4 linked regions of the Oreochromis niloticus genome follow. The protein of the gene in region 2 purifies or fractionates together with the protein of the main gene of each other region. This does not show direct contact. Links are inferred from orthologs where the notes say so. Each region holds a gene or a part of one and is shown on either strand. Other genes may lie near its edges.

Region 1 (7,552 bases), on a different chromosome or scaffold from region 2:
TTTCACGAAAATTTAAGTGATCCCAAGCCTTTTTCACCCTTCAACCACAAAGAGGATGGCTCACCACTTATACTATCCTTCCAGGGTTTAGTAATACATTGAGCAGTTCTCAACACAGTTATATGTATGTATATATATATATATATATATATATGTGGAGAGAAAGGGAGAGAGAGTATTTTCTTCTGTGTTCTCTGATCAGAATAAATACTTTTACACACCGAACACTTAAAATCTGTGAAAATATTTTATGGCTTAAAAATATTTTTCCGAGCCACCTATCTGTGTAATTTTGTGAGTTGGATCTGCAGCATTAATTTCTTTTCGGACGAAGTTCAATTTTTTGGGATTTGTGAATAAAAGGATCTGAACAATCACACCACTGCATTTGGCAACAAGCACGTTCGCAGCTCAAAAAGCGCACTGTACTGAATAAACAATGATGGGGAACTAGTGAAGTAATACTATTTTACCTCACAGACACACAGCTAGACTTTGCTCCGGGTCAGTCGGCTCTCTGAAATTATTTCTCTGCCCTCTCAGATGTGGCTTCAAAATTTAATTTGACTTTTTCACAATGCGCTCGGTGTGTAATGGCCTTTACACTAAATTGTCCAGCAATCCCTTTGCTAAACATATGACAAATTGGTTAAGATTTGCAAATTTCTGCTTTTAATATAGTCCAGGTGAATGCACATTAAAGCTAATACTTTAAGCTAAGACATCATCATGTGCCAACAGTGGAGGCTGATTCCTTACCATCGCTCTACATGGAGAGAGGAGAAGGTCTTGAGTGCAGCCTCACGTGTGAAAAGCTTGAAGCCACACTGAGTGTCCTTGATCCCCTTCACGCAAAAAAACCACACCAGGAAGTGGAAGCCATACATAAGGAACGTACGAAACAAAGACCGCTGCAAAGACACCAAAGTGTGGTCATTTACTGTTCTGAAAAATAATTTCGAACACTTTTCTTTTTAAGCAGTATAAAATAAAACCCTGTTACCTGAGCTACAGAATCTTTCTCTAGGTGAGCTCTGGATCCACATGAAATTGCCATGTTCTCCTAGACGTGAGAGCAGCACATGAGGCATTAGGCTTGGCCACATTTTAACCACTTTTACACACTTATATATCTAATAAGTGAAACTGAATTTAAAACAGAACAGAACACCATCACACCGGTTTGGGGTTGAGGTCATTGAGTCCACCCTCCACTTTCTCAATGTCAGAAAACTTTGTGGCTCCATCAGCATCTGCCATCAAAATGACTTTCCCTCTGGAGCTCAGAGTTCCCTTTAAAAGAAAAAGAGATAAAAACAAAACAAAAAAACCCAAAGTCAGTTCCAAACTGCTGCTTTAGGGTTCCCATTTGGACACACTGTAATCTCACATCTACAATCTCACCATCCGCACAGCTCCTCCTTTCCCTCTGTTCTTCACCAGCGTCAGGACGCGCACTTTATCAGCACTGTACTTCCTAGTGTACCGCAAAGCAACCTGCCAGGACAACACAACAGTGTCCACTCATGAAACCGATCTATACTGGTTGAAAATGTTTAGCTGAGCAAAACGGAGTTGTGCTAAAATAGAAGGTCTGGTTACATTTGCCCCAAAAAAGATTTAAAATTATTACCTCTGTGGTTTTGTCTTTGCTGCCATCATCCACCACGATGACCTCATAGGTAAAAGAGGGGTTTTGTTTCTGCAGTCAGAAGAAAAAACAGACAAAAAAAACAAACAAAAAACAGGAGAGACTTGTTTCACAACAGCCACTTTACCCAGATCATTGTTGCCACCTACTGGTAAGTCTGAGAATAACATATCCAGCAATATATGTTTTGTTTTTTTTTTTTTAATAATGAACATTATCCATCATCAGTGCAGACAAAAAGGCACTAACATCAGTTATTCAAGAAACCTATATACACAAGGTTGCAGAAAAAAGGACCCAGTGACCAAAAAATGTAAACAAATTATAAAAAACAAAAAAAACAAACTTGAACTGTATCTCTGAAAAGGTGTGGTCACCTTGAAATAAATTCAAACTAATGAACAGAACAAATAATTTAAGGGCTTTCTTGTCATTAAAATTTTTAAGCCATCTGTTTATACATAGTTTAGCTTTAAAGTATATACATTTATTAACTAATAAATGTTCCTAATAAAAACACAGTCCTGATAACAGTCTTTCTTTTGTTTGCTTTTTGTGTGTCAGATTTTGATTATAAATAAATATCCCAAATGTAATTACAGTTACTGTTAAATGTGGTAATTGGATATCCGGTGATACATTTTGTTTTATATGCTTTTAAATGTGCTGCTTTTTACTGTAAATATAATTACGCTTTAATTCAGGCTCTGCACTTACCTGCCTGTTCTCCAAGTACTCCATAGCTTCATCCATCATCACTGGTACTGAAGGGACACAGTAACACACATATAATAGCAAGTACAACCTACTGCACAGTGACATGACGTCTGACTGCACCAACCTGGATGGATTGCACTACTAACGCCTAATGAAAACTGACTATTTACAGTGTGTGTCTAATGTGGGCATTCATAATGACTGACTGAGCAGAAAAGCAGACTTTACTCACATCGGAGCTCCTCGTTGTAGGCCGGGACCACCACAGAGAGCTCCCTGGAATGGGGATCATGTAGACTGGGGAAGAGCCGCTTCTCTCCGGTGGCGGTGAGAAAGTGTTTCTCCTTCTCATGGCGTGTCAGGTCCACCATCCCTGCGGTTAAGTGTGCTATTACGAGCAACTGAAAAGTGAGAATTGCATTTGATTTACAATTGAATCTTTCTACAAATGTGGTGCAGTGATGCGTTTTGGCCAAATATCTCCAAAGCACATTGTTTCACAAGTCTTGTGGTTTGTTCAGATGTAAGACTGAAAACCTACGCTACGCTCCCATGTTCTTTTTAGAGAGAAGACCTTAAAAGACTTTCTAGACTCATGAGAACCACCAATTGCTTCTCTAGCACAGAGAAGCAAGTTGATGATGAAAGACACAATTGATGTCTTTCCTCCTTGGCATTGTGTTACCCCACCCTAGAATACTCCAGACCAGAAAACTTCCTTCTTTTTTTTTTATAGAGGTGCTCAAACTTGCTGATCATTACTTAATAGCAGGCACCTGACTGCTAATTACTCTCTGCATTCCTATGTCACATTTTGTAGTTCATCTGAGGTTGTATTTACTCAATTTTAAGATCTGCTAAGGACGAGATTATTTTTTATTATATCCTAAAATGTAAAACTTTAGAAACTGGTCTATATCTAAAAGAATGCGAGCAAATATGTACCATATGTTTCATATATGCTTTCAATAGTCAATAGGACTAACGCTCTGAATAAATACCAATCAATACAGGATTTATTTACAACCTAAAGATCCGGTATCAGCCAATGTCTAGTTTTTCTGAATTAAATGTTGCTCCTTTTCATGCTTATATTACTTACGAGATATTTTTTCTGCATGACACTTGACCCCTCTGTTGCTTTAGAGCAGAATGAAGAGGAAGTATCATAAAACTGAGGTACATGAACAGGCCTGTAAAAGTCTACAAGTGGCCCGAGTCAAACACAATGCTCAAGGATAACTTGGAAAGTTTTGAAAAGTACAAAAGGAAAGATACCCACGCTATCACTGTAACTGTATTTGGGCAACTTCTCCCAAAACAACTTAGCTACAGCATCTCTCATCCAAAGCACTGATTACTCACCACGATGAAACCTACAGCTGCCAGTGCGACGAGGGCTTGAACTATTTCACAGAGGAAATCCATTTTCCATCAGGTTACCTACCCTACACCCACTGACAGACAGACCACCTGCAGGGGGCTAGCTCAGAAGCTAGCTGGCTTTCTCCTTTCCCTTCCTTTATTGACACACAGCCTGTGTTCTAACCTCCTGGTGTGTCCAAATATATGTACCAAATTACGACCTTACGATATTATTCAGAAGGTTAAAATGTTTAATATGAGTCCTTATGTTTCCATTGCTGTGAGGACACTTCACCTAACTCCACTTCCAATCACAACTGAACACAACGACGATGCGGAAGTAGTGACTGTTTTTTCTCCCACATCATCATATTGGAGCAGGAGAACAACGAGCGGCACAGTGCCGCTCGGCGCTGGGGCACACTGCCTCATAGCGGACAGGGGTGGAAATGGTGGCAAGGACTCTCTCTTTAACATGTACATAAAGAAAAAAAGGGAGGTATAATGCTAGGAAAAATATTAGCATTTGTCAAAGCATTAAAGACTTTTCTTCTAGTCTACAACATTTTGTTGTAACATTTATGGAAAACAACAACCTGCATCCCAGTCCCCCAATTCCCTAAAGGTCATATTTTGGACAACGACCTCTCAAAAATTATTTTGTAAAATCTATCGGAAATGTTTCCTGAAGATTTCCTACAAGGTCCACAAAAATATAAAAAGCAACTCAATAAATGGCTGGAGTTTATTTACTTGCAACTAGATTTGACCAGAGACGTCTATGGACAGGTCATGATTTGGTTACAAACGCGTTTGGTTAAACTTTGGTTATGCGCTTCTTCCTACCCGGCTACCGTAGGTCATAGCGCAAACCCACGTGGTTAATCAAAACATCATGGCGGCTGGCTTCAAGTAAGAATATACAAGCTCTCCGTTCTATGTTTGGGAAAATATCACTTTTAGTTTGCTCTGTTTATTTTTTCCTGTACTTACCAGCGGAGTAAATGCATATTTGGTGTTATAATAAATTAAATTATTTATTACACAAAATAAAACGAAAATACCGGACATCATGCATGTGACAAAGAGCGCACTTTATTCATTCTTGTGTCACAGCTGTAGTTTATGACTGGCTCAGATATTTGTCATTGACGTGTATAGCATGAGTACTCGGTCACTCTCTTCGCTGTGCTGTTTCTGAGTGAGCTTCTGATGTGTCGGTGCTGTGGCTTCCTTTACCGCGTTCCCTTTTAACTTGCAGGACTGCTGAGCCTCTGGAGTACCACCGGAGCTTTCTGGTCAGTGTTGAAAACAAGTTCATCCCACACGTGACAGACAAGTGTTGCTCTCTGGATGGATATGAACTGTTATTTGTTTCTCGTTTCTCTTTAGAAAGAAAACTGTCGGCCTGATGGACGAGAGCTGACTGAATTCAGAACCACAACACTGAACATAGGTGAGACTTCCCCACAGTGTGTGAGTGTGTGCGAGGTTTCTGTAACCTACATAGGATTTTTTATTTTATTTCCATGTTTAGGGTCAATTTCTACAGCAGATGGCTCAGCCCTGGTGAAGCTTGGAAACACAACAATCATATGTGGAATTAAAGCGGTAAACACATTTGTTTTTCCTTTTTGTTGTTTTTTTTATTTAGTGAGTGTGGGCCAGGTTGATAAGTACTCACTTATATCTCCCCCTCCTGCAGGAGCTAGCAAACCCTACAGTGGAGGCACCTGGTAAAGGCTACATTGGTAGGTGTAGTAAGAAGTCTTTGTTTTCTCCCATTCTTTCTTTGTTAATTATCTGATATCATGTCATTCAAACAATGATCGCATCTCCATCAGTGCCCAACGTGGACCTGCCACCCCTATGTTCCTCTCGCTTTCGGCCGGGACCACCGGGAGAGGAGGCCCAGGCTGCCAGCCAGTTTATCGCTGATGTCATTGAAAGGTGCCCGACTTCAGTATATGTTAGCTTTTTTTAAATGTTTATTTTAAATGAGTGATAGTTTTTAAACCTGGTGCTGGTTTAACTAAGTTTTTATGTGAATTTTTCAGCTCTGAAGTGATAAAAACAGAGGATCTGTCCATCGACAGAGGAAAGGTAAACCCAAGAGTCACGGGGCTACACTGACATACAATTTGACCCTTAAATATCCAGCCATGGGTACTAAAACTGCGGACTCTTGTTGCAGCTCTGCTGGGTGCTGTACTGTGACCTCATGTGTCTCGACTATGATGGGAACATATTGGATGCTTGTGTTATCGCACTCTTGGCTGCTCTAAAGAACAGTATGTAAATTTCTACTGTAATGTAAATTTTAAAAAAAGTCCATGTGTCTTAACTGGTAATAATGGAAACAAATCAGTAGTTCTTCTTCTTTAAGCAGTACATGAACTTAACAGTATCCTGGCTCCTCACAGCACGACTCCCAGAAGTCACCATCAACAAGGAGACCTCTGCACCAGAGGTGAATTTAGAAAAGAGATGGGAACTTCAGATTCACAAACATCTAGTCAGCGCTTCTTTTTGCATCTTTGATGAGTAAGTTAGTCTAGCCATTATATATATAAAAAAAAAAACAACAACCCAAAAAAGAAATTTATAATCTCTATTTTTAAGTGACATGTGCTTCTTTTTCTAATCCTGGCCTAATCTCGCTGCAGTTCCATACTGATTTCGGACCCCACAGCTGAGGAGGAGACTCTGTCAACAGCACACCTGACGGTGGTGACTGATGAGGATGACCGGCTCTGCTCTGTGCACAAACCAGGTGAGGAATACGTTTGAAGCGATTTGCCTTTCTAGACTGCATGGTATGTGGCATGAACCTAATTTGGTTGAAGATATTTTAGGCTTATCCCTTACTGCAAGAGCCAAAATCTGCAACTGATTTGCCAGTTTTAATGCTAATGTCCTTCCTGGCATGACGCCAAAGGGGATTTATGTTTCTAGTAGGGGTAGAGTCAGCGATCCTTTGTTTGCTTGCCAAGAAAATGTGTTAACCACTACACTATGGAGCTACTCCTTTAACCTGATTTGGCATTAACACAAAAAAAATGTCCTCAGAATACCCCTGTTGTATGAATCAATGCATGTGTAATAGTAACACCAACATAAACTGACGGCTTCAAAATGAACACTCAGGTTAGGTCAACAGAAATAAAACAAAAAGCAAAAAACTCAAAAATGCCAAAAAGACATTTTTAACGTAACTGGGAAATACTGTTCTATACATTGCTACTTGTTGCTCAGGTGGGACATCACTGTCAGGAGAGAGGCTGCAGGAGTGTATCAGCCGAGCAACAACACGACAGAGAGAGATCCAGAAACTCATTGCCAAAGTTGCACACAGTGTGAAGAAGGCACAATAATGACACTCGGACGATGCTTTTTTTTTATCTAAAAGCTGTATTTTTCACTGTCAATATATATTCTTTTTTTTTAATAACAATAAAACTGCTGACAAAGACCGCTTTAAAAAATTATTTCTCAGTGTCCGGAAATGTCTCACACACACACTCAGTTGATGTCTCGTAAGAATACGCTCATGGCTCCTGTACTAATTAAAAGGAAATGCCTTTTCAAAATGTGCTGTACAAAAGCAGGTACACCATCTTGCATGATGATCTTGAGTCCTCGTTTGAGCCCTGTGCTGGGACTGCTTAAGAGAAGAAAGACTTCCAACAGACTGAGAGGTAGAGAGCTGCCCCCAGGCACAATTCCAAGATCAGATTTGCATTTCACATGTAACGGTTACACAGGGAGGATTTGGTGTCGGTAAGCTCAGTCGGGATCCGTGCTTAAAGGGCAGTTTCT
Region 2 (8,005 bases):
AACTGTTTTCAAATACACACGTATTATTATTATTATTATGAACGGAGAAAAAAAATGAATACATGTATTTTTCAATGTACCTGAACGTTGTTATGTCTTAGTCACAGGAAAATCACTCGTCTGTGACGACTGATTTTGTTGTCGCTCTTCAAGTAGAAGAAAGACGAGAGTAGCGGGTATGTTTTCCGCATTTCCATTTCACTGATCGGGAGAAGTGGTACGGGCGTGTACAGCTGGTGACTTGAAGGCTAGAGCATCCCAGTTCACAAGCCTCGTGCTCCAGCCTTTTCGGTCTTCGGAGGACGCGGCCCACGAGACCGAAGGCCGGGTCCTCCAAGGATGCAGCCTCTGAATTGGGATACAGCCCATGTTTATCCCAACCTGAAGGAGAGGGATGAGGCATAAAGCCGGCTGTTAGAGGATTTAAAGGTAGAGCTGTGCAGACCTCACTGCAAAACTTCAACAGATTCTTGTTTGATACAAACCGTCACTGCTGAATATGACACACAGCAAACACTTTGAGCATGATATCAGAAATGAATGTTGACTTACAGGCTGGATATCAGTAAAGGCCTTCTCAACTTCCAGGTTCCTGAAAACCTTTCTTCCTACTTTGTAAGGTGCAGCAGGGAGGAGTGCTGGCAGCAGCTGTAGGGCTACGTCACCTTCCTGTCTGTAAGCTGAGGTTAAAATGTTACAGTAAGTAAAAAAGGTCAATGCAGAAAAACAAATAGAAACATTTCTTCTGAAATACCTTTTGGGAGCAAACCAGTGTTTTGGAGAAGATCACCACTCCTTTCCTTCTTGGCCATGCGCATGATCTTTGTCAAGAACAACAGGATCCCAGAAGAGTCACACAGAAATCCTGTGAAATCCTGTGAAATCCTGTGACATCTGACAAAAGACAAAAATACTGATTGGTTCCTGAGCTTTAAAATTCAATCAAATTCAGCCTTTCTCGTGTGACACTAACATCTGTTCTGGGTGGTGTGATGTTATTTTGATGATTAGATTGGTATTGTTGCAGCTAACTTCTGTTGGTTTGCAAGGAAATGTTTTGTTAGTCTCAGTTTTACCCATGTTCTAATGTGAAGAGTCCTGGTTTGTATTCAGTGTAAGTAGTTTTTATGTTTCCCTTCTGTTTTTTTTTTTCTTTTTTGTAAGCTTTATCCACAATCGCTCAATAAAAATATTTTGAGTAAAAAGATTTGTATTGTAATTGTACACTGTACATTTACACATTGTATTACTTCTGAGTGTTGAACAGGTCCTTAGTCCATGAGATGTGACCTCAGCATGCCCGGGGTGAAAATTTGCTGAAGTGGGACCGTCCCGTTTGACCGGGTCCACGTTGCTCTGTGGATGGCAGTTTGCAGCATGTGTCGGGAAACCTGAGCCAGATGTTGTTCTGTTCTGGTTCTGTGGGAAGCAGAAGTAAATAAATTCAAACCAAAGATAGAAGGCCAAGCACTCAAATGATAAAAGCTTAGATCGCTGCAAAAAGGAAGGGGCTTCAGAAGCAAGTCTATCTTCTAGTACCAGACAAAATGAGGCAGTGTTTTTGGCGTTCCTGTGCTGCTGAGTTCTTCTTCCTGCCAGAACGAAGCCTTCACCTGACACTGCGTACACGTTCCTCCAGAAATCCTGCTGCTGGCCTGAGTTTTCTGCCGGGGCTGAACCACACATCCTGAAAAAAAGAGAAACAAATATGATTTAAAAAATGTTTGCAGTTGTCAAGTCGTCTTTAAACCTGGAGCCATGAGCTCCAACAGCACGCTCGACATGAAGCAGACCGGTGTTTGTTAGGAGATCCAAGCCATGGTCCACAATCATGTTTTACACACTTTAATCTGTCATGAAGTTGCACAAACATTTTGGACAACTTCTCAGTAAATTTGCAGCAGTTGTCATTATTTATGTGTCTACCTAAAAGATGTGCTACACACTGTATGTTTTTAATAATCAATGCTCTTCAGTACACTGACTGAGAAACTGAGCAGTATTCAGGATTTTTAATTGCTGTTGTGTGGATCCAGTGAAGAGTGGATACTTACATATCCTGTGTCCTGTGGCAGTTTGTCACGCCGTCCCTGTGCTCCGTGTTCCCTCTGTTCAGTGTCACGGCCGTGCCCCTGTGCCTGTCGTGTGTTTCCTGTTTTATTTTGATAGTCCCTGTCCTGGGTGCAGTGTGTGTGGGTATGCGTCCCCTCGTCTCGTTAGGTCTGATGTGTCCCTGGTGTGTTACCACCTGTCCCCATCCTCTCGTTGTCCTGTCCGTGTTTCTCTCTGTGCTTAGTAACACTCTGGTTCTCTGTCGTGTTTGTGTTTTCTACTTTGAACTGGAGTTTCTAGTTTAGTTTTCTTGTATTTTATATTCAAACGTTCTGCAGCAGTAAAGCTGCTGCTTGTCGTTAATCCTCCTGTCTCCGAGTCCCGCGTTTGGGTCCTACATCCTGCCTGCCACACAGCACTTCAGGAAACGAATCGTTTTAATATGCTCAAAAGTTAAAGCAAAGATAACATTTCTCATTTTTAATTGTCATTCAAATGAATGTACATGGATAAAAAAGCCTGATGGCATAGCTGAACTTACAAATGTTGCTCCTTTGTCTGAAGAAACTCCGGTTTGCAGTTCAGTAGGTGGTGTAAAATCAGCACATCAGCTTTTTTACAGCTCAAATCCTTTAAAATACAAATAATCACTTTATCCCCTGAGCAATAAAAAAAGACTAAATACAAAGTCTTTCAAAGGTTGCTGTTTGTGACATTGGACTGTACCGTCACTGTGCTGTTAACAGTTCAGCACAGGTTCCCATCTTCAGAGTGATAATAGTGTCATTCCCGGCCTGTAGTTTGTACCTTTGTACTTAATCCAGGATGGCAGAAACACTTGTGTGAAAACAGAACTTCCCTCAAATCCACTTGTGACTTTTTCAAAATCATGTGCGAATCGAGCAGTCTGGTGCTTCCTGGCCCAACGTCAAGGTCAGAAAAAAGAGTGTAGCACATCATTATTTGGTGTCTGTAGGCCTGGGATTTACAAATATTCCAAAAGCTGCAATTCACACGACTTACTCATTAGAAAAATCCAAGTTTGCCTCAAAGCGCACAGACCAGAAATGAACTATGGGCCCAATTTTCCGATGGCTCCAGGATAATGTAGCATGAAATGGTGTTTGGGTTTCAAGTGTCTGTTTTCCAAGAGGGCAGCAGAAGTTACAACAAATACAAATACAACACAAATTTTCTTTATTCCACTTTGAAAGGAAGTTCCCAGGGCCAGATTCAGATAAAGAAGGATTATTTTGAGCTGTAAATCATGCAAAGCTGCTCTAACAATAGGTCACTTTCAACCAATCTCCATACGCCATACGTCACACCTCGAGAAGGAGGCGGGTCCAACAAAATGTGACCACATAAAATGATTAATGTCTCCAAACAGCAACACACACACAGACACACACTGACATCAGAGGTTTGCGGAGTTATGAAAAGTAATTGACTGTTGTTGCTCAGTGGTGATGCGTGCTCAGTCATCCAGGTAATCTATGGCGTTATTTTTGTGCCACTATTCTGAGCGCACGTAAAAAAATTTGAGCACACGTAAAAAAAAATTGCAGGTGCAAGTGTTGCATTTTGAGGAGAAATGTATTTTGAGCTAAGAAAAGCTAAATTTGAGTGAACAAAATTCATTGCTGCGTGCAAAAAATGTATTTCAGTGTTTGCTATTATCCATACACACACACACAATAGCAGCCCCGCTCGCTCAGTTTTTGCATTTGCGCTTGCTCACAATGTGTTGCTTGTGCTCTCAACATTTCTGCCTGTGCGCTTTCAACTCTTTCTGTACACCGTTATAATTGTGCCACAAAACCAGCCAATCACAGACTTGGATGGAAAACATTCTGATTGGCTGTTTTGGTCTCTAATCAGCTCACTGGCTGCTGTAGCTAAACCCAGGCAAATATCCCAGAATGCATTTCATCCAAAACTCAAACGCAGTGGCAGAGGAACGCGCAGTGGCGGAGTTTGAAATATTACTCTTTCTGGGTCACAAAATAAACTTTTAAGATATTTGATGAATGGCGCTGTGTAAACTTCAAATATCTGCTCGATTTATGAAGCCATCACATATTTGCAAAAGTGCTCCAACGTTTTCGGAGATGCCTGTTACCCACCAGCTGACCGGGTAGTCAAGGCGCGGCTCCCAGCACATCGTTTTCAACCCCCCCCCCACTACTCAGGTTAAACATAATATATAAGTCACTTAGATCAGCGGTCCCCAACCTTTTTTGCGCCACGGAACGGCGCAAAAAATCACAGCATCTGGGCCCAATCCTCCGAACTGCAAGACAGCTTTTTCCCGCAAGCCTCACACTACCAGCTCCCCCCACCAGTGTTGCCAACTCCTCAGTAAGGAAAATCGCTATTGGTTGTCCTAAAAGTCGCTAGAAGTCGCTAAATGAAGTCATCACCTAATTTGCATAATTGGTCATGCTAATATAATTGTAACCTATGTTGTTGGAGAGAGAAATAACATCGTGGAAGAGACATAAAGTGAGTAAAAACGTCCTAAATGCATTTAGAGTTTATTTAGAACTACAAATTAAATTTCTTTTAGCAATTATTGTTTTTTTTAATGTCACAATTCCAACCCTGCTCCTTTACCCGGGCTTGGACCGGCAAAAGTGATCCGAAATAGGCACTCTGGTGGAGTTACTTTGTGTGTGTGTGTGTTTATAAGTAGTTTTAAACCTTGTGATCCACAAAACAGCATAAGAGTAAAAGAGTAAAAGAAGAACTGACTGTGTTACAGCACCCGCTGCTTGTTGAGAGTAAAAGCGATACGCGCTTTCACGTCTTTTTTTAGCGACTTTTTTAAGAAAAAAAGTCGCTAGGGGGTCTGAAAACTCGCTAAATATAGCGACAAAGTCGCTAAGTTGGCAACACTGCCCCCCACCCTAAGAAAATTTCTCTAGATCCGCCCCTGGGCTGCACATCAGAGCTCGATTAGCAGGGCTGGAGAAGCAGTTCAGCGCTCGGTTCTTTCTGCCTCTGTTCAGCGTGGCGTTAGCTCGGTGTGCAGCACCGAGGGTCCTCCAGTTCGGTTAGCCGCATTCTCTTGGGTTGAAGATGGCGAGTGAGTCGGTGAAGCTGTCCAAAAATCTGCTGCGGATGAAGGTAAGTGAAGCTGCGCGTGCTAACGGACACGCGAGAGCAGCTAGCAGCCGATAGCTAGCAGAACGTTAGCTTTGTAATGCGCCGGCGCATAACTCCACTCAGCAATCCTGATAATTTAAGGTTTTCTGCTTCACAGGAAGTTTTAAATCGTAAATAGAAGTTGAAATTGATTACCGGATGTCGGGTGTGACCCAGAGAGTAAATCGGCGTGCAGCAGAGTTAATAACAGGCTGTAAATGTAATTTATTAATAAATAATGTGTGCCAGTCTGAGACTCTAAAGATAAACTCTGACTTTAAAATGATCTCTCACGTGATGCGAATCTGAACCCGTGTGGATGCTCAAGTATTTGTGTTACGTCACGAATAATGGGAACGACGGCTGAAATTCATGCTTTAAAAACTGTATCAGAGTCTGATATGACGTCCAGGGGGAGGTAATAACCTGCAGGGTGCTGGTTTGTTTCCTGGAGAGGCTGAACCAGCGTGGAAAAGATGTTTCTGCGGCCTGATGCTTTGACCAATCAGAATAAAGCCCTCTCTGCTGATTTTCACCTTTACTTTAAAAATCTGTTCTGCAGATGTGGAAGATTTCACACTGAGGGAAACAACTGTGGTTCTCTGCAGATCTCAGCCAATCACAACTGAGTGCAGTAAAATCATCATTCATGAGAGCAGGTGTGGTTAAAACCTCACAGAAACGTCAGCTGAAGGTGACGTGTGTGTGTGTGTGTGTGTGTGTGTGTGTCCACAGTTCATGCAGAGACGTCTGGACGCAGAGACGAAGAAGCAGCTGGAGGAGGACGAGCGGAGGATCATCAGTGATGAGCACTGGTACCTGGACCTGCCTGAGCTCAAGGCTAAAGAGTATGTATGAGCGCCATTCAGGCTCCGCCCACTTTAATTCAAGCAAAATGCATAACAGCCTCACCGCACCGTCGTTAAAGGACTTTTTTTCATGCAGCTGCTTAATGTGCAGTTTTCTGAATGGAGTCTGGTTTGAAGTCTGAACTAGAAATGGACCGATCCGATATTACGTATCGGTATCGGTCCGATACTGACCTAAATTACTGGATCGGATATCGGAGAGAAATAAAAAATGTAATCCGATCCATTAAATATCAAAAAAACACCTCACAAAACTTGCGACACGGCGTAACTCGGCTCATAACCGTAGCACGTCGGAGCAGTGTGATCACGTGATAGAGCAGCTGTGTGTATTTGTAGCCTCGCTACCAAACCAGCATTTCATCTCCGAGGAAGTTATCCCAGAGAGAAGAAAGCAAGTGTGTAAGTTCATCTCTGAATGTTTGTAAAGCGTTCCCATGTTAAGCTTAACAACCGATATATGGAGCGACTGCCTCTCTCCCTCCCTCTCCTGCTGCTACTTCAATCGTGAAACTGATCAATCAGAATACTTTATTGATCCCTGGGGGAAATTATTTTTTGTTACAGTGCTCCATTATAAACCAACATTAACAAAACAGACAACACGCTAACTAAGAATAGTACTATATATATATATATATATATATATATATATATATATATATATATATAGTGTATATATATGTGTGTATATATATATATAGTGTATATATATGTGTGTATATATATACATAAGTCACACATTAATAAATAGCTGGAAAGAAACATGTAGTTGTAGCAGTAGCCAGTGTGTTAAGTGGATGCGTTGTACAGGGAGATGGCCACAGGCAGGAATGATTTCCTGTGTCGTTCAGTGGTGCTTTTCGGTATGATGATCAGCTGATTGGCTTTTCTGTCGCGAGTCCGTCTCTCTTCTTTGTTTTTGGCCCACTTTGCTCCAGAAAGAGGAAACCAGCGGCGGAACAACAGCAGCACGTTTAACCTTGATAAGCTGTTGTTAGAATGTATTTAATATTACTTTCTACACCAGGATCCTTTTCTACGTAGCTGACGGCTGGTAACTGTGCAGGGGCGGATCTAGCAAAGTGTAGCCAGGGGGGCCGATGGGGCATGAACAGGGAAAAGGGGGCACAAAGACATACTTTTCTTTCTTATTCTCATTTAAAATGTCTAGCTTTTAATAAATAATTATCTGAATCTTACACCCAAAGTTTTAATCTGATGTAACATGTATAGAAGTCCATTACTGTATATAGTAACTGTTAAGTCTAATATACCCTAGTAAGCTATAGTACTTTTTCCTTTGGGAAGGTACCATCTGTGCAGTCTGCAGTTCTGTAGAAGAAAGATGTTGAATCTATTTAATTATTCTTGAAAAATAATTTATTTCTGTGCATTTTTTTTCACCCTGCATCAAATTAAAGTTGATTACATCGATTAAGCATCATGAGGTGGAGGGTGGGGGGTGGTTCCCTATTTCTTTTTTTGCTGGGAGTTTGCAACCCTGTTAGTTAGGTTGCTTAATATTTCTGCTAAGTACTCTTTAAAATACCAGAATAGGGAGGATGGAGCAGGTTTAAGTTTATTAGATTGATCAGTGTTGCTGAACTATGAAATATTTTGGGTGCAGTGTATTTTTTACATACAGGTATAACAGAATAGCTTTAGTGTTGTTGTTTATTTAAACTTGAGTATGAACTTATACAAAATGCAGCAAGATATTAAAAAACAGTTTTATTGATTAAAAAACACACTATATCGGATTCATTAAGGTATCGGCAGATATCCAAATTTATGATATCGGTATCGGACATAAAAAAGTGGTATTGTGCCATCTCTAGTCTGAACACACAGTGAAGTGTGTTTTAAGTCTTTAGGGGTCAGAGGTCATGTGATCATGGAGGCGGATGATGTTATTCTGGAGGTGTTCCTAATAC
Region 3 (6,573 bases), on a different chromosome or scaffold from region 2:
TCATCTAATTGGTCAAGGTCATGTCAATCACAAATGTAACAATCCAATCAAAGAACAGATGGGTTTGGCTGTCGGAGGGGCGCTTTTTTGAACTGCAGGTCCTTGAAAGGTAATACAGTTTGAAGCTGGAGGATCTCTATATAAATATCCAATAGAAGCTAGGTCCCCTAACCCCTATCTATTTTTATTACCCATAACGGTAAAAAAAAAAAACCCCATCCCAAATCTAGATCTTTAAAGACTTGCAACTTGAGCCAACCTTTAAGTCTGTGCACAGCTCTTTGAGTAATCCTGTTAACAGACCAACCAAACCAGTTACAGATTATTTATTTTTATTCAGATGTGATTTTCTGAGCCTTGGGAGTGATCTTTCTTTAACATTGGAGTGTCTCTAACTCGTCCTCTACGTGCCACCCCTCTCACTTCAGTTGTAGGTTTTAAATAAGGCAGTCTGAGACTGTTTGCCTGCTTCCTCGGGCCCGGATCGGAGCAGATGAAGGGCCGGTGTTGTAGTAAAGTTGCATGTCCATGTGTTCCAGCTCCGTATTGCAGCGCGTCGTCTTCGTACGGTGTGAATAATCTGCTGTTAGATCCACAGCACTAAAAACTCTGACGTCTTTGTTTCCTTCGGATGTGACTCTTCGTCTTCATGAGGGACGGCTTCATAGCAACAAGAACAAGTTAAGACTTTAGGCAACACGAGTTTAACTGTCAGGTGTAACACTAGTGTTTGTTTTCTCTGCAGTACGAAGTGGTTTGTAACATTGAAGAACTTTTTCTTTGGCTCTGGGTTGTTTTTTTATATTTATCATTTCTTATGTATATTTGTTTTTTAAGAAAAATAATAAAAAAAAATACTAATAAAAAGGAAAATTTGAATCTGTGCTTGGTATTTTTGTTGACTTTCAAGATCTGTGTGTTATCATATCAGTAGGGAATATGATTGACAGATTAATCGTTTGGCCTCCGAAATGCCCGAAAATATCCAACAAATGGTCCCACATGGAAATGTATGTACACAACCTGACAGGACATGTTGGTGGTTATTTTTCTGTTGATCTGAACAATAATCTGTCTTCTTACCCTTTTGTGACACTTTAAAAAAAATTTTTTAGCCAAAATCCACATACTGACTGGCCGATTTATTAGGTACACCTGTTCAGCTGTTAACCCGTTTCAGATGAGTGCAACTCTAGACATGAGCAAGACGACCTGCTGAAGTTCAAAGTGTGGATCTGGATGTGGAAGAAAGATGATTTAATGGACTCGTGATGTGGTTGTCCGTGCTAGACAGGCCGGTTGGGTCATGTTGATTTCAAATGACCTGACTGCCTCAAGCCAATACAAAGGCTACAGCAACCAAAGTACAGAGGAGAGCTCTGAACATGTTGAAGAAGATGGAAAAATGACGCCCGGTCTGATGAGTGTCAATTTCTGCTGGTAGGATCAGAATCTGGAGTGAACAACATGAAAGCATGGATCCATCCTCCCTCACATTCACAGTTCAGGCTGCTGGTGTAACCGTGCAGGGGATATTTCCCTGGTACACTTTGGGACCTTTAAATGCTACAGTCTGAGTATTGTTATGACCACAGTGTACCCTCTTCTGATGGCTGAAAGCAAAAGCGGGTCCAGCCCGGTTCCGGTGTCAGGCCTACTGATATCTTCTGTCATTGTACCAAACCTACTTCCACCCCTACTTGTTAGGAGCTTTGGGCCCCTTGTTTATATATGAATTAATAAGTTATCATTTTAAGAAACATCAAGTTGATGTTCATAGAAGTACACACATACACACACACTATTGATTACCTACACACATCAGATATTGATAACCTTTAACTGACCCCTGATCTCCTAACTGTTCCTCAGGCCTGACTCTGGGATCCTCTCGTACTCGCTGTCACTTTCATCCAGTTCGCTGTCCTATATTGAAACAATGTTAGGGTCTGATGTTGGATCAATGTTAAATTCTGATTCTGATTTTCCACCAAGTTTGCACCCTTGGATAATATTGAAGCAACAATACAATCATCATTAAAAACCAACAGGACTTCACAGGTATTTTAATCAATACTAAACCACTGCAAATTACCATCAATACCTGTGAAAAAGACAATTGTGTATGATATAAAAAAAAGATAACCATTATCTGTTAAGCATTATGTTACAATTTAACATAATGTAAAATTGTAACATTGTAAACATAATGTTACAATTTAACACAATGTAAAATTGTAACATTGTAAAAATAATGTTACAATTTTAAATTGTAACATTGTAAAAATAATGTTACAATTTTACATTATGTTACAATTTAACATAATGTAAAATTGTAACATTGTAAACATAATGTTACAATTTTACATTATGTTAAATTGTAACTGTTAAGGGTGGTGAGTTAGCGAACCCAGACGCGAACCTCTCGTTTAAGTTGAACAGTGTCTTTATTTACAGTGAAGCCAAAACCAATCCACAGTTATCCACAGTGCAAGCCCCTTCAGTGCTCCTCTCCCCGTCTCCCCTCGTGTGTCCACAAAACTCCAGAGAATCATTGAAGTCTCCCCTTCCGTCTCGTTCGCTTCCAGGCTTGGTGCAATACTCCAGCGCTGTCTGTCACTCAGCCACACCGTTAAATAGCCCTGCCAACGATGGTGGATAATTGGCAGTAGCTGGCGACGAATCGGTCGCAGGTGAGGCAGCTCAGAGCGGCAGCACTTCCGGGTCTGAGGTCTTCCGTTGCTACGCGACCGCGTGACAATCGCAGCGGAGCCGGAGAAAAAGCAGAGCGAGAGAGAGGAGAACAAACACACACACAGGTCGACCGGTCGGGGCACCGTCCGACTCTGACAGTAACATAATGTAAAAATTGTAACATTATGTTTACAATGTTACAATTTTACATTATGTTAAATTGTAACATAATGTAAAATTGTAACATTATGTTTACAATGTTACAATTTTAATGTAAAATTGTAACATTATGTTTACAATGTTACAATTTTAATGTAAAATTGTAACATTATGTTTACAATGTTACAATTTTACATTATGTTACAATTTAACATAATGTAAAATTGTAACATTATGTTTACAATGTTACAATCAGTAGTGGTTTTAGATACGGGCGACACGGGCAGTTGACGGGGCGGCATCGTGTTGGGGGGCGGCATCACGGGCATCGGCAAAATAAATAAATAAATAAATTGCTCGTACTCATGCTGCCCCGACATCAGCCAGCGCATATTGGGAATGGCATAGGCACCGATCGGTTTTCTATCGCCCATTTGCTGGGAGTAAGGGCGCCCTCCGTTTGCGAGGTGCGCCTGCTTCTTGCAGCACAGGGAGGAGAGGGCGGGGCGGCGGGGATTCTCTGGCTGGCTGGAGCAGCATCTAATACCAATTAAAATGTACAGTAAGTGCCATTAAATGCACAAAATGTAACAACTAAAGAATCATTAATTATATAATGTGACATAACTGTTTTATTGTAAATTAATTTAGATTAGATCCTCTGTTTGTCTACATATTTATGTATTTATTTACTTCTTTATTTAGGTGTACAATGATCTTCACTGTAAATGACACTTTTTTTCTTGTAAATTATAATGTTACTCTTGGATTTTTGTTTTTTCACTGTTTATTTAATTGTTTGTTGATACAATTGGGACTTCACTGTTGAACCTTTTTTCTCAGACTCATCCCTATTTTTTTCGTTTTTCTTGTCTTTCAATCTACTGTCATACCAAAGTATCTGGAGAATAAAATAACACTATAATAATGTATGATTTTGTTCTCAATTTATAATCACTTTGTGATTTTAAATAACATATTTAATAAAGAGACATGTTAAAAATGAGGTAAAGATCAGTCAGACCTGGTAACAATGATTTGGGTCACACATGTTTTTGTTTTTTGTTTTGTTTTGTTTTTTAAATCTACCAACAAATTACTGGCATGTTTGGCAGCTTGTTGTAATACCTCCCGACTGACAGAGGGCGCTGTTGGGTGTTTCCTGCGTGTCATGCTGGGTTTTTTTCCGGTGGAAAACAACAACAACCTGTTGGAGGAGTTAACGCTGAAGAATAGGCGGCAGCATGTTTTCTACCGTGAGGGAAAGGGTTGGGGAGGTGCTGTTACCGGGGGACGAGTTCTCCTTCGAGGCCGAAGAGAAAATTTCTCTGACGGCGCCGGTGAAGTCGGAGAAGGTGGTGTGCGGTCCGGGCCTGCGGCGCTGCGGTGACCGGCTAGTGGTGTTTAAGAGCGGCGTGCTGCGACACAAGGAGCCCAACGTGTTCTGGATCGATTCCCAACAGAGAAGGGTGAGAGAAATATTAGTAAGATAACGCCAGTGTGAGTTTCTGCTAACATAATTCATCGATAGGCGCTGGTTTTCTGCTCTCTGGATGCTCGTTCATCTAGAAACCTGGAAGCGTGAAAAGTGTGTTTCTCTCAGTGTTCAACCCCGAATTAATCACAGCATCAAGCAGACCTCCGGAAGCTCTCATGTTTTGGTCTGAAACTTCCTCCTGCAGGTTAATTCATAAGTATACAAAAATTTAAATGGAGTCTGGCAGTCTCCAATGGAAGTGCGCAGTAAAGCTGCGTCGGAATGTAAAGCAGTGCGTGCTGGGAGCTGATTATGTCTCTTTATCCTCAGTATGTCCCAGCTAAAGGAGAGAGCATCATCGGGATCGTCACCGCCAAATCTGGAGATGTCTTCAAGGTGGATTTCGGAGGGAGTGAGCAGGCGTCTCTGTCCTACCTGACATTCGAAGGGGCGACCAAGAGGAACAGACCCAACGTCCAGGTATCCAAAATCAGACTGGAGTTTGGTGTGCAGGGAACTCTAAATAGAGGTAATCCACCTTTAGGTTAAAGAGAGCCACTGTAATGATTCCCCCTCTCTCCTCCCTGTGTGTTTGTGTGTCACCTGTACAGGTGGGTGACCTGGTGTTTGCTCAGTTCCTCATAGCCAATAAGGACATGGAACCAGAGCTGGTGTGTATTGACAGCTCAGGACGAGCCAATGGGATGGGAGTGTTTGGAGCAGGAGGTCTGCTATTCAGAGTCTCTCTCGGCCTCGTCAGAAGGTAACTGAGCCACGGCGCCCTCTGCTGCTCATGTAATGACACCAGCATTTGTGTTTAGGATCTTTTTACCTCAGCCTAAACATTACTGCTTCCCCTCTTCAGGCTGCTGGCACCCCACAGCGACATCCGCTCAGACCTCGAGCAGCTCTTCCCGTGTGAGCTCGTGGTCGGGATGAACGGACGCATTTGGGTCAAATCGGCCACCGTGCAGCAGACGCTGATCATCGCAAACCTGCTGCAGAGTGCCGAAACCATGACGGCTCAGCAGAGACAGCAGCTGTTCAGGAAGGTCCAGCAGGGGGCGTTCTAGACGACTTCTGACCTCCAGCACATGGACTGAACCAGCAGAGGCCACACTGTAGACCACTTCAGACCTGAGTCCAGGTGTAATGCTGCAGTGATGTCACTCCTGGGCTCTGTGACATCACACTGAGCGTGGCTGCAGCTGTTCAGTGTTTAAAGGATCATTACATGTTTTCACATGGAGCTCCAGTCTGAACATTTTTGAAAAGCAGATGTTAAAGAACCAAAAACCACAAACATGACAGACTATCAGGATGAAAATAAATAAAACTGGGGGGGGTAATTTTAAAAAATGTATAAAAATGTCAAAATTATAAATGTTCAGAAAAGTTGATGATTGTCCAAAGAGCGGCTCCTTCCTACAATCCTGGAGCAGTTTGGTGACAGTCTGTGCCTTTTTCACCATGATGGAGCACCACGTCACAAGGTAAAGTGATCCCTCAGAGTTTCAAAGATCTGCAAATTAATATCTCAGATCCAGGACCAGAAAATTCCACAAGTCTTAATGAGATTGAGAATCTGTGATCAGCTGGAGCGCTGATGAGGCAGGAATGGATCTCCAGTACATTACGGAGATCTGTAGAGGTTACAAAGAAGGGTCAACTCTGTAAATACTAACTCTGTGCATACATTTGATTTATTTGCCAATAAAAGCCTTTGAAATTTATGAATTGCTTTGTTCTCTATGAGTTGGAGACATTTAAAAAAAGCTGAAGCACAATTTTTTGATACTGTCAAAACTTTTAGTCATGATTGTTTTGTTTTTTTCTCGGCTCCAAGTCCAACATGAACAGCTCGGCTTCCTGATGGCAGACACAGCAGCAGCAGCAGCAGCATAACTGGAGACACTGAGTGATAAAATTTTGTATTTTCATGATTCCTTTAGATTTTCAGATAGTCTGAAGTTGATAATTGTCCCCGTGTTGATGAACCCAAAGATGGGATCAGGATCAAAATTAGAAATGAAGCATAACGTGCATTTTCTAAATATGGATTTAATTTGTTACTTCTGGTTTTTAAAGGGGTTTAAATTTAAGTGTTAAGTAAAAGTTTTGTTTTTAATTATTTTTTTATTCTAAATAACTTTGTGGATGACCCTCAGCATCTCTGTTGACCACCAGGGGGCGGTGGAACGTGGCAACACATAAAAACGAAAACAAAAGAAAATAATTTTTTA
Region 4 (6,030 bases), about 5.7 Mb from region 2:
TTCTGACTGGATTATAAATTCATGAAGTAATCACTGTTGCCACCCTTACATTTGACACCCTCTGTAACTCAAAGTTGAAGTTTAATCTCTTTTTAGACCCACAGTTTTCCTCAGCTCAGGGTTGATAAACTCAAGAGTTGTTAGCTAAACCTGCTTCCTGGAATAGGTCCCAGAAACCTAGTGTTTACTAAAGCAACCAAGGTCCATTTTCCCACAGACCATGACATTGTTTTGGAATGTCGCCGCCTCTTTCTGGCCATTAAAAAGATTGCAGGTTTAAGGCACTTCCAAACTGGTTTCACTTTTCACATCACAAGCTTTATCTATTTTTACATACAGTCAATGCTCCCAAGGCTCACTCACCCCAAGTCCATCCAGATCTGTTTGCACTCCAGGTCGGGCTCCAGGCCTGCATCCTCATTACCTCCAAAGTAGGTGACATACAGGCGCTCTAAAGGAATACCAAACTCCTGAGTCAGCAGCTCCAAGGCCATCTTACAGGCCAATTCCTGCAGAGCAAAAATGATGCAATAACAATTTAGAGCTGTTTAGACACCGTCTTGTCCATTAATAATGATAATTAATATGTCATTGTAATATAACAAGCAACATTGACAGAAAGGAGAGAACAGCAAGATTCTCACATAAATCAACTTTAACCACTTTACCCAAAAATATAAAAAGAATGAGATGAGGTCCAGGCTCATATGTTCAAGCATTTTTGTATTAGAATTATCTCCTTTTCCATACTAGCGAACAATTCCCTCATTCTTATTTTGAAAGTGCCCTTTTCCTGTGCCTCTACAATGAGCTCACCAGTACTACAAAGCTGAACAGCTACTGTCCAAGACAAAGAAGTTATAGAGTTGTAGACTGACTTGAGAGGGAGCAGATTATGCTGCCCAGTTATACATTTGTCACAAAATACTTGGCAAACAAAATATTTGCAGAGGAGAAATTTATAAATGGTGAAAGCGCTTGCAGCAACGTGTGTGTATACTCGAGCACCATTCCACAAACATGATCTAAATCTGTGGGAAAGACTAAAAATACAAGTAACAAAAAAGTTAAACTGATGTATTGGATGAAAAAAATGTAATACCTTAAAGTAGTCCCCAAAGGACCAGGAGCCCAGCATCTCAAAGAAGGTGTGGTGGTAGACATCTTTACCCACATCGTCCAGATCATTGTGTTTGCCTCCTGCACGAATACACTTCTGGGTGTTGGCAGCACGATGCAGCCTGGCCATGGGATGTGATGGATCAATAGTGTTGAGGAAGATGGGCTTGAACTAAAGGAAATGAGGTGCAAAAACAAAAAATCTTGAGAAAAAAATTATTTTTTTCAAGAAAGTTTGCTAGATCTGATTTCTGAGCCTATTCTAAAAGTTGTGAATCAGTGGGTACATAAAAAAAAAAGCCATGGTGTAGGAAGCAGTGCTGGGAAAGACATGGTGTGTACCTGGTTCATGCCAGCATTGGCAAAAAGCAGCGTGGGGTCATCCAGGGGGATGGTGGATGAAGAGTGAACATACTGGTGCTCATAGCGACAGAAGAAGTCAATGAACTTCTGGCGAATTTGAGCTGCATTCAAGGAGGAGTCCATTCTGAAGAAGCTCTGTGAACAAAATTACACACAGAGAAAAGAAACACTTTAGCTATCAAGCACATTTAAGGAGGTCTTGTCCAAATGCAGCCAGTGATTTTTTTTTAGTTAATTCTTGGTCCAATTAAATTGTTCCAGGTCAAAGACAGAAGGATAATTTAACCCATAGAAACTGGTCCCATTTAGAGAGGTGGATGATTATTTGGTCTGAGTAACAGCAACTTTTCTACTAAGTTATTAAAACACAATTAAGGCCTGTTCTTCCCTTTCAGGCAGTAGTCACCTTAAGGGTACACTCTTAGTGCTCTTGTATCCAAATACTAATTTGGCAAGTACAGAAGAGGTAGGTAGGTAGGTAGGTAGGTAGGTAGGTAGGTAGGTGTGTGTGTGTGTGTGTGTGTGTGTGTGTGTGTGTGTGTGTGTGTGTGTGTCACATCTTGGGTAAAGCTTTTTAACCAGCTGTTTAAAACACTGCCTTAATTAACAGCATCAGCAATTTCCCATGGGTTTCTCTTCCTGTCATATGACTTTGCAACTAGCGAGAGCTCTGGCAAGGCTGGTGCATAAGTTTGGGGTTGTACAATTTTCTGTCATATTTTAAATGCAAGTAATGTGCTTTGTTGGAAGCTGTTGAAGTAGCTCCTTTTTAGGTAGTAAAATGTCATTCAAGGCAATCCCATATAATAAAAAAAGAATTATACACTTGTCAGTGCTTTTAAAGGCTGGTTAAAGAACCGTCCAGTATTGGCCAGAAAATACATGACTTTGTCCATAAAGTATCAAAACATTATGAAATTGTTTATCGGTCATTCAAGTGTCATGCATGTTTTGATTTTACCACTCCACACCAAAAGCTTAAAATTAAGTCTGTTTGTACGGTGTGGCTGTTAACCTAGCTGCAGCTAATTGGCCTGAGGCTCTCCTCATAAACAACAGCAGCTCAGGAATCCAGTAAGACAGGTGAGGCGCACAATGCTCTAATCTTAAACCATGAAGTCAAATCCAATTTTAGGTAAGAATGGAAACAAAAGCACTTTATTTGGACTTTTGCAGTACACATATTTCATTAAAAATGTGATACCATATATAATTAAAAGGCAGCAGAGCTCAATTCCCATTGGTGTAAACTAACTGCCAAAGGAAACCTCAGCTGGTGTTTTCAGCTTTCTGGGAATAAGGAGTGGATGACAAACAGCCCATGTCCCCATCCTGACAACAAACCATTTAGCGGGCAACCAGAGAAAGAAAAGACGTGGGGTGTAAGTATTAGCCCAGTGGTTTTGAGAAATAAATAATGGTACATTTTCAAGACAAAATAGGGACATATATAATCATAGAACAGGTAGACGGAGACCAGGTTGATGATAAATACTGGACCCATCTTTCAGGTTAGTGACAGGAACAGCCCTGTTCTCTGTCTCCATGGCACAAAACCAGTGAACTTAATCTCGCAAGTCTAACATAAACTTCCAGACCACACAAATTTGTGACAGTCATGTGATACAACATATTTCCTCTTAAAGTGCTACCAAAAACCGACAGTCTGCAATGTAAGCTAGTCAGCTGACTATAATTGCTATTCTAGGTAGAGGCACTAGCTTGATCTGACGTTAGCAGGCTAATGTGTTAGCCAGTTAATCAAGCTACCTCCCTGCACTCAGGCTGAGATAGACAGTTCGGCACACTGCTCTAACTGAAAGGCTATTCTGCTGAACAGTACAATGAAGATAGCTTATTTCAACTACATTTAAACACATGAAAATACTCACAGAAGCCGCTATTCCCGCAGAATGAATCAGGTACTTCTCCTTCACTCCACGCTGCTCAAACAGAAGGAAAGCACAACCAGCGGTCACACCTACGACAGCCTCCAATTGGTCCGGCTACACAGAAACGTCAGGAATCTGCTTTCCTATTGAACAAATCTACTGTCCTTCTTAACAGAGCCCGCCACGGCAGCGATACAAACCTCCGTGCTTTGGCTGATGCAACTAAAACGGTGTCAGCTCAGATTTTTGTTGTCGTTTTTAAATATATTAGTTGATGTAGAGAAATATGTGAGAAAAGTCCGCAAGCCCAATGAATTCCAGCTTTTGTTTCAAGTCGAGCCGAACATGTATTCTAACTTTTTTAACTAATGTTGTTATTTATTTATATACATTTTTAAAAGAAATGATTGTATTCTGTCCTTGATCAATAACATGTATCACTTTTTTGTGACTGTTATTTTATGGCAGAGGAACTGACTAGTAATAATGATGAAATATTGCTGCATCCGTACGTACTCGATATTTCGCTTTTCTGATGTAATATCCTTCAGTGTGCGTATATTAGCGGAAGCATTTCTCCCGCATGCTATGTTTCTAGGGGAAGAGATTTCGTGCGGGACCGGTTGCTTGGGTCATTTACTTCAACATGCCGACTGACACCAAACGTGTTCGTGGTCCAGAAGTGTCTCAGAGCCCGTCTCTGTTTTCGTGCGATCCGGCGGCGGTTCTGCCCTCGAAGGGGCCCAGAGCGGACGGTCGGCGGCGGGATCAGGTCGACGTCCGGCCCGTTTTCGTCCGCTGTGGCCTGGTGAGCCAAGCTAAAGGCTCCGCGTACTTAGAGGCTGGAAACACCAAGCTGATGTGCTGCGTTTACGGCCCCAGAGAAACAGACCGGAAGGATGAGACGGATATGAAATGTGGAAGGTATGGAGTTTGTTTGTTTTAAATCTTTAAGCATATTGACTGCTCTAACAACACAACAAACAAAGACATAGGTTTCTGATGATTAAACTGTGAAGTCATAATAAAAATACAGCCTGCTGTGTCTTACATGGACAGCAGCATTTTGGGGTTTTCTTTATTTCCACCACTGTTCTAAACTACACATGCGTGAAAACTAGTCTAAACATTAATAAACCCCATAAACAATCGAAATGCAACAGAATGTTAACTTTTGCCCAAAACAGTTGCTGGAGACATTATTGACTTAATCCAAATGCAGCACTTTTTTAGGGGAATAAAATGCTTTTTGACATATCCATAAATCATAAATGTTCACAAAGAGGCAACTCCTTGTGTTTGATAAGAGTTTTTGCATTACTTTCACTGCGAACTGTTATTTAGTACCATAGTTGGGTAGAAAACTGAGCTTATGTGGGTATACCATAAAGCATTCAGTTTGAAGTGGACACTGATATCTGTGAGAGTTTAAAAAAAAAAAAGACTCAACCACAACTGTTTTTCTCTGTGTCCAGATTGACTACTGACATGCGCTTTGCTCCATTTTCCTGCCCGGAGAGGGGCTCCTGGATTCAGGGGAGTCAGGACAAGGACTTTTCCCTGATGTTACATGAGAGCCTGCAGCCCGCCATATGTCTCCACAAATACCCTCGCTCTCAGATCGAGGTCAGCGTGATGGTTCTTGAGAACAGCGGTTCAGTTCTGGCCCATGCCGTCACATGCGCCTCTCTTGCGCTTGCAGATGCGGGGATCGAAATGTATGATCTGGTGCTCGGTTGCTCCATGCGCCAGGATGGCACCTCCTATGTGGTTGACCCTTCCTACATGGAGGAAAATGGCTGCAGCTCAGTGAGCTGTGAGAACCAGGGCGGTCTGACTGTCGCATTCCTCCCAAGCCTGAACCAGATTTCTGGACTGCAGTCTGATGGAGACATGACTGAAGAGACTCTGACCGCTGGGGTGAGGACCTGTATTGAGGGATGCTATAAACTGTACCCAGTTATCCAGCGTGCCCTGACAAAGGCTGTGCGCAAAGCTGCTCCATCACAATCAGAGAGCTGAGTGAACCACGAACTCCTCCGTTTAGTTTTTCCTGTAGATCATTTCCAATCGTTAGTAAAGAACATGATCTATTTTTCCATGTGTGGTATTAGTTTATATATTAAAAGAAAAATATTCACTCTGAGATTCGCCTCTTTGCATTTCCTCATTAAATATAGACAGTTAAATAATGTATATTCTCCCTGGGATTTGACACTAAATGCTTCCCACAACACTGGAGAGAAATTGTTCAACTGGTATATTTTTAGTAGGTGAACTCTGGCAATGCAAATAGCCTCATATAAGCAATATATGCAATATAATTACAGATGGATTTGGTCACAAAAAGTTTGTCAACACCCTCTGTCACAAACAGAATTACACAACCATTAAACTTGTCCTTGTCTTGTGTCCTGGCAGAGCAGGTAAGGTATGGCTACATCTGTGTCAACATAATTTTGTGTTCTACAAGTCATCCTCATACCATTAGGGGGCACCCTAATGTTTTAGTGAAATCTGGCTGTGGTTAATGACTATCTTTACCACAAACATGCTGCAGCACTCAAGCTTTGTACTTACCTTTATTCATCACACAAGCAAAATGTTATTTGGAGGTTCCAGCAGACTGTAACATATCTGGGATGAACATGTCAAG

The links. The genes of interacting proteins can lie anywhere in the genome.
Region 1: the proteins of mphosph6 (region 2) and exosc8 purify together in Homo sapiens (affinity purification with mass spectrometry; 4 studies listed by BioGRID and IntAct, counting the BioPlex papers as one, with this or other methods). This does not show direct contact. The link is inferred for Oreochromis niloticus from reciprocal best matches to the Homo sapiens genes MPHOSPH6 and EXOSC8.
Region 3: the proteins of mphosph6 (region 2) and exosc3 purify together in Homo sapiens (affinity purification with mass spectrometry; 6 studies listed by BioGRID and IntAct, counting the BioPlex papers as one, with this or other methods). This does not show direct contact. The link is inferred for Oreochromis niloticus from reciprocal best matches to the Homo sapiens genes MPHOSPH6 and EXOSC3.
Region 4: the proteins of mphosph6 (region 2) and exosc6 purify together in Homo sapiens (affinity purification with mass spectrometry; 3 studies listed by BioGRID and IntAct, with this or other methods). This does not show direct contact. The link is inferred for Oreochromis niloticus from reciprocal best matches to the Homo sapiens genes MPHOSPH6 and EXOSC6.

The regions. Positions count from the first base shown.
Region 1 is NC_031975.2:15,850,848-15,858,399, reverse strand, and holds exosc8 (exosome complex component RRP43), read left to right. Parts: upstream 1-4,542; 5' UTR 4,543-4,628; coding exon 4,629-4,645; intron 4,646-4,994; coding exon 4,995-5,031; intron 5,032-5,125; coding exon 5,126-5,189; intron 5,190-5,270; coding exon 5,271-5,344; intron 5,345-5,438; coding exon 5,439-5,484; intron 5,485-5,577; coding exon 5,578-5,683; intron 5,684-5,790; coding exon 5,791-5,836; intron 5,837-5,927; coding exon 5,928-6,024; intron 6,025-6,156; coding exon 6,157-6,277; intron 6,278-6,399; coding exon 6,400-6,506; intron 6,507-6,988; coding exon 6,989-7,107; 3' UTR 7,108-7,219; downstream 7,220-7,552. Other genes in the region: alg5 (dolichyl-phosphate beta-glucosyltransferase), read right to left, coding at 760-911, 1,004-1,063, 1,180-1,293, 1,405-1,497, 1,634-1,702, 2,369-2,415, 2,601-2,769, 3,734-3,796. UniProt on the Homo sapiens protein: Non-catalytic component of the RNA exosome complex which has 3'->5' exoribonuclease activity and participates in a multitude of cellular RNA processing and degradation events.
Region 2 is NC_031972.2:1,932,309-1,940,313, reverse strand, and holds the start of mphosph6 (M-phase phosphoprotein 6), read left to right. Parts: upstream 1-4,984; 5' UTR 4,985-5,133; coding exon 5,134-5,181; intron 5,182-5,934; coding exon 5,935-6,047; intron 6,048-8,005. UniProt on the Homo sapiens protein: RNA-binding protein that associates with the RNA exosome complex. Involved in the 3'-processing of the 7S pre-RNA to the mature 5.8S rRNA and play a role in recruiting the RNA exosome complex to pre-rRNA; this function may include C1D.
Region 3 is NC_031966.2:9,765,284-9,771,856, reverse strand, and holds exosc3 (exosome complex component RRP40), read left to right. Parts: upstream 1-4,011; 5' UTR 4,012-4,097; coding exon 4,098-4,322; intron 4,323-4,660; coding exon 4,661-4,810; intron 4,811-4,941; coding exon 4,942-5,093; intron 5,094-5,195; coding exon 5,196-5,403; 3' UTR 5,404-6,063; downstream 6,064-6,573. UniProt on the Homo sapiens protein: Non-catalytic component of the RNA exosome complex which has 3'->5' exoribonuclease activity and participates in a multitude of cellular RNA processing and degradation events.
Region 4 is NC_031972.2:7,647,210-7,653,239, reverse strand, and holds exosc6 (exosome complex component MTR3), read left to right. Parts: upstream 1-3,972; 5' UTR 3,973-4,020; coding exon 4,021-4,298; intron 4,299-4,849; coding exon 4,850-5,396; 3' UTR 5,397-5,520; downstream 5,521-6,030. Other genes in the region: aars1 (alanine--tRNA ligase, cytoplasmic), read right to left, coding at 364-509, 1,103-1,291, 1,462-1,605. UniProt on the Homo sapiens protein: Non-catalytic component of the RNA exosome complex which has 3'->5' exoribonuclease activity and participates in a multitude of cellular RNA processing and degradation events.